Bombyx mori: one gene and its partner. The protein of the gene in region 2 binds, or shares a complex with, the protein of the main gene of each other region. Links are inferred from orthologs where the notes say so. Each region holds a gene or a part of one and is shown on either strand. Other genes may lie near its edges. The genes, in order: DNA-directed RNA polymerases I, II, and III subunit RPABC5; general transcription and DNA repair factor IIH helicase subunit XPB.

Region 1 (3,961 bases), on a different chromosome or scaffold from region 2:
TTCAATAATCGCACTACTTTGTAATATATTGTTTGTTTTTTTAATTTATCTAGTAGACTAATAAATTTAAATTTCATTACAGAAATGAAATCATATTAAGACATTTTTTTTTATACTTATTAAAATAATCTTAATGAATTCTTGTATTTCAATTGAGAACAAGGCTTTTGTTCATGAAATTAAAAATAAATTTAAAATTTCATACTGCAAAATTGCCTGATAACTGCACTGTCAGATATTTTTCACTATTATATCCGAATTAACGCTAAGGCCAGACCTTTGAAATTGTAAATAATTCAAAATACAACAGAAAAGTAAGAAAAATTATCACCAAAAAATTACAAAACCCCCTTGTTTGTTGTATTTCTTTTAATAATCTAATGTCAATTGTCAAAATATCATTTTTATTGATTCGTTCATATAGTACAGGCAAAGGAAATGGGACGCATACAGTAAAATGTTTTGTAATTTAAGCTGAAGCCAATCATCAGTCAAAGGTGAACTGGAACGAATAAACTGAATAATTGTATGAGACCGAATGGAAATTGTACGTTGTAGTTAATTTAGGGTTTCTTCAGACTTTAAAGCTTAAAATAATGGTTTATTAACCGTAAAACATTTGTTATAGTACACAAGTATGAGAAAATGGAGTAAAGCAGCTGGAAATGTATTTAGAACATATTTTTATGCAGCGCAGCATTGCAATGAGTCGATTCCTATATTGAGACGAAGCAGATAACACTGAAGGAGAAAATGAAATATACTTAACAACAACAACATCATAGGACTTGAATTACATGAAATTAAATAAATATCGCAGTAACTTATTATTAAGCAACTGACAGCCTAATGCATATTTTGGAAGAATACGAGAAGCTATGACTGACGTTCGTCTTTCATTTTCCCAAACTTTTGCATTTTCACATATTCCAAACGGTTCACAATTCACTCTCATTACACATGTAGATCTGATGAAATATTAAATTTACAAAATAAAATAATTAACTTTGGACTTTTGAGATTTCACAAATTCGATATGCTCTCCCATGCCTTAATGTACGGAATGAATGGTTGTTTTAACTTGATTTATTTACATTGAAAATTTGCCGATGATCACAAATGAAATGCTACGTACCATTTGACTGTCATCAATACTGATATGTTGCTGCAGGGATAAAGTCATTTTAACCTGAAATAATAGAGAAAACCATACATTTCACATTTTTTAAGAGACTGGCTTAGAAAATTTCTTGATTACTTATTAAAATATTCTAATAATAAGTAGACTGCTCCAAATATGCGTCAATCAATTTCACTCAAACGTTAAAAAGGAGCATATCTTACTCTCTAAAATCCAACCACTAAAAGTCAGTTTGGAAATTTAAAAAATAATTATGTACCATTCAAATGAAATGAACATTCATTCAATGTTTTAAAATGTTTTAAAAATAAAACATTAAAATTTGGTTCTATAGACTACATTCCTTTTGCCGATTGAAATCGACAAACAAAAATATCATATTTTCTTGTGACACTGTCATCTTTAATCATAAGTCATAGACAATACAATATGTAATCTATGACTGTCGTTGCGAGTCTAAAAAGTTTTTATCTCGAAGTAAAATAATATTATTGTGAATTGTAAAGAATAGAATTACAGTGTTTTCTCATTAAATTTAATGATACTTTGTAACTAAAATATCTTCTATTATTATTAAAAGTAAATACGTTTTATAAACCAAATAAATAGTTAAAGCATTGATACTTTATAACCCCAGTGCCTCACCACAACTTTAGGTTGTAGGAAATAAACAAAATGATTATTCCAGTACGATGTTTCACATGCGGGAAGGTTATAGGAAACAAATGGGAAGCTTACTTAGGCCTGCTACAGGCGGATTACACAGAAGGGTACTGTACAATTTAAGTTTTGCAACTGGTTTTTATACTTACCAATATTCTAGAACTTTAAAATGGAAATAACTGACATACATAATATAATGTAGTTATTTGATAAAAATTCAGCAAGAAAGATAAAACAGCTCCTCCCAGAAACAATATTAATGTTCTTATGAATTCAAATGACGGAATATGTAGGTGATTCCTGTTAACTTGGGTTTTTCTTATTTGCCAACTCATACTTACAGCCCACCTATCTTAAAGTGGTTATCATAATCCATAGGTCACAAGGTGGTAATTTTTTTTTTTTTTTTTTTTTTTTTTTTTTCCTACCTAAGCTGATAGCCCTAGCGGCTATTTCAGCGTAGCCTTAACTTTAGTAGGTGAGCTCACGGGGCTCAAACCTGACGATGTTGCTAACACGAACCCTAGCAAGAGTCGTGCTTCGCAGAATCTACCACCGGATCGGAAACGCGACCCACTGAGAAGATCCGGCGAGAAACTCAGTGGGCTGTGTCTGAGAATTAATTTACTCGTCGAGCCCTTCGTCGCAAGCGACGGGTTCGACGAGAACGGTGACCGGTGCTTGAAGTACCTAAAAGCACCGTTAGTGGATCAGGAGGATCCGAGATGACGTGTTTAGGGCGACGTCGACTGCTTTCCATTCTGTCCGCAGGATCGGGAATGAGGTGGTAATGATGGTAGATCTTGACACCAGATTAATCTCTGGACTGTTTTGCAATATCCAGTTTGAGTGTGAGGAAACGGAAGCATATAAGTGATAAATGTAAGATGATATCCTACTAGACAAGTAAGCTATGTAAAAAGTGGCCCGAGTTGATATAATCATTACTACCAACTGCAGCAATGAAATAAGATTGTTAATGCTTGTTAGCTTTGAGTATTCTTATACCTTTTTTAATGTGTTTATAGGCATAAGATTCTCTTGATAGTGATAGATTACTGGTAATCATCGAAGTCAGTTAAGCGTACTGTATACAGTAGATTTACTATGTGAATGTTAATATTTAATTGTATTTTTTTACTTTCAGTGATGCTTTGGATGTCCTTGGATTGAAAAGATACTGCTGCAGAAGAATGTTGCTCGGACACGTGGATCTCATTGAAAAACTCTTGAATTATTCCCCATTAGAAAAATAATGAAATATTTTTTAAAAAACACAATTAAAAATAAAAATCTATAATTGACATAAATTTTTTAAGATATTAGAGTTTTTCTTTCATACCTATATTAATCACCGCACAAAGGCTCTTGATTTACATGCCTCCCATTGTCAATGGAAAGTTTAACACAGTATTTATTTTAACTGGTCAAAGTCTCAAAGCCTAGGACATTGGTTCCTTCTGTCTATTTGTGAAGAAATTCTATCTCTACTGTATATTTAATAGCCAAAATTATTGTAAGCTCTAACATTTGAAAAATGACCTGCTGTTTGCTTCTTTTATAATCTGCATCAATTGAGGTTTGTATACGAGTGCGTGGGTGCAGGTTTTTGTCAGCTTATTAATATTCTGAATCGTTAAAGCCTTGAAACTATATAAACTAAATAAGAGTGATTTTTTCATGTACCAAAAAAAACTAGAGTAGGTTAAGACTAGTTACAAAAATTTTATTGTTATGAGACTTGTTTTAATTGCTTTTTACTTGTTACGGCCAATCCACATTTCATTATTGCTCATTATCAGCTCGTCACACACTTCAATTATCAATTTCTTTTATAATTGAAATTCAATCCTTTTTGACTTTGCCAAAATCCAGTTTTATAGTCTGTGGTTTTGGTTGTGCCCAGATGTCTTTTGGTGTGGTTTGTACTCTTGTTTGTTCTTTTATAGGCTTCGTGATTGCACAAGGTCACATAAATTTTAATTATTATTATTTTACAAAGTAATCAACTGTTGAATTACTTACCTAAAACAGGACAAACAATATATGAGGCCTATCAAATCAAAGGCAGCTAAATGCCTTAATGTCGTAAAATGGATTTACAATGGCGTTATCTTGTTTAGTTAGTTGGACACGCCTTAGTGTTTTCATGTTATA
Region 2 (2,283 bases):
TGACCACGACAATATGTTTATGTAGCGATAACTCTACAAGGAACAAACAACACTGGCTGCGGGATTGACTATCATAACCCACAGAAACAGCCCACTGAGTTTCTCGCCGGATCTTCTCAGTAGATCTCGTTTCCAATCCGGTGCAACACTCCCGGTTTAAGCCCCGTAAGCTCACCTACTAGTTCGGTAAAACTAGAATACCACTCGAGGTTACTAGAATAGCTATAATAAAAAACGAAAAAAAGTTGAATATACAACGTTCCAATGTTTTCCATTTATCCACAATTAAATACATATGACGGATAAGGGCTACTTCCAAAGTGTTTTTAAAATGATGACGTCGTCGTCGTCGTCGAACCTGTCACTTGCGACGAAGGGCTCGGCGAGTAAATTAATCCACAGACACATCTCATTGAGTTTCTCGTCGGATCTTTTCAGCGGGTCTTGTTTCCAATCCGGAGGTAGATTCTGCGAAACACTGCTCTTGCTAGGGCTAATGTTAGCAACGTCGTCAGGTTTGAGCCCCGTGAGCCCACCTACTTACTTGTTACGCTACGCTGACATAGCCTCTCAAAGCTTATAATTAGCAGCAGTATCAGCTTAGGTAGGAAAAAGAAAAAGTACCTAATAGTGCGTGCTTACAACACCTATCTACCAGTTCACTTTGAATTGCTTGTCTCTTAACATCATATCTCATGCTTTTGAGAATTCAAGACTCAGACGTTTAATTCTCCAACGTTGTCGTCTCAAGGCTATCAGCATAAGTAGGAAAAAAAAAAAAAAAAAAAAGTTGTCGCGATCGCTCATGCGTATTAAAGTACATATACGTCACGTAATGTAATTGCAATATTTGTCAAGAAATGGCTTTCGTTGTCGCGTCTGTAACAACACGAACACGCAATGTAACACGAACATATCTAACGGACCGTTGACCCATATGCGTCAGCTAGTTTTGTAATCGCTATAAAATAAAATAAATAATTTTCGTAAAAATAAAAGTTGTCATGTCTGAAATCGCCAATCGCCGTGTAAAAATTATATTAAAAAAAATCGTTCAAAACTAATAAATGAAACATACAATTTGAATGGTGCTTTTGCTTTGCAATATTACGTAGGGTGTAATTTGTAATGAAACAATCTCCGCGTTGCAGCCATACATCTACGGGCCGACGTCCCAGAGCGAGCGAATACAGATCCTCCAGAATTTCAAGTTCAACCCTAAAGTGAATACGATATTCGTGAGTAAAGTCGCCGACACCAGCTTCGATCTGCCCGAAGCGAACGTGCTTATACAGATCTCTTCGCACGGAGGCTCCAGGCGACAAGAGGCACAGAGATTAGGTAAAGTTAACATGGATCTAAATTTATATTATAATATTTGTAGTAACTATATTTGAGACCTTAGAACTTATATCTCAAGGTGGGTGCCGCATTTACGTTGTGGATGTCTATGGGCTCCAGTAACCACTTAACACCAGGTGGGCTGTGAGCTCGTCCACACATTTAAGCAATAAAAAATAAAACTTCATCATCACTACATAGTATAAAACAAAGTCGCTTTCTCTGTCCCTATATTCTTTAAAACTACGAAACGGATTTTGATGCGTTTTTTTTTAATAGATAGAGTGATTTGAATAGGATGGTTTATATGTATAATAACATCCATGAAATAGTGGAGAAATCAATAATAAATTACAGTTTCCGAAGCGGAGCGAGGGCGGGTCGCTAGTATTGAATAATTAATGTAAAATCGCTTTGTGCGCGACGAGAGAATTTTCTAGATCTTGAATGGAATGTGGTAAAATGTGGCCAAAATAATAGAAATATATCTTTCTCGCTCTTTTTGGCACTAAATAAAGTTTAGGTTTGACGCGTCAACATCTTTGCAGTCGAGAGTATTCACTCATTTATTTAGTCTCCTTTGTAATTTCCAGGTCGTATTTTAAGAGCAAAGAAAGGCGCTTTGGCCGAAGAATATAATGCCTTTTTCTACACTCTAGTATCACAAGACACCTTGGAGATGGCTTACAGTAGAAAAAGACAAAGATTTCTTGTTAATCAGGGTTACAGTTATAAGGTAAATATGATATATGAGGCCTATAAAATCAAAGGCAGCTAAACGCCTTAATGTCGTAATATGTATTAACAATGGCTCTATCTTGTTTAGTTAGTTGAACATGCTTTAGTGTTTTCATGTTATAACAAATGCAGCTAAATCTCTAACAAATTTAGTTCAAAAAAGTTAAGTTTACTCTGTATTAAGTACTAATAAACGAAGTTTTA

Evidence for each region.
Region 1: general transcription and DNA repair factor IIH helicase subunit XPB (region 2) and DNA-directed RNA polymerases I, II, and III subunit RPABC5 share a complex: the UniProt entries of both Homo sapiens proteins name them as parts of the TBP-based Pol II pre-initiation complex. The link is inferred for Bombyx mori from reciprocal best matches to the Homo sapiens genes ERCC3 and POLR2L.

What each region holds. Positions count from the first base shown.
Region 1 is NC_085133.1:5,484,697-5,488,657, forward strand, and holds DNA-directed RNA polymerases I, II, and III subunit RPABC5, read left to right. Parts: upstream 1-1,539; 5' UTR 1,540-1,816; coding exon 1,817-1,911; intron 1,912-2,951; coding exon 2,952-3,060; 3' UTR 3,061-3,126; downstream 3,127-3,961. UniProt on the Homo sapiens protein: DNA-dependent RNA polymerase catalyzes the transcription of DNA into RNA using the four ribonucleoside triphosphates as substrates.
Region 2 is NC_085117.1:11,792,397-11,794,679, reverse strand, and holds part of general transcription and DNA repair factor IIH helicase subunit XPB, read left to right. Parts: intron 1-1,151; coding exon 1,152-1,341; intron 1,342-1,934; coding exon 1,935-2,077; intron 2,078-2,283. UniProt on the Homo sapiens protein: ATP-dependent 3'-5' DNA helicase/translocase. Binds dsDNA rather than ssDNA, unzipping it in a translocase rather than classical helicase activity. Component of the general transcription and DNA repair factor IIH (TFIIH) core complex.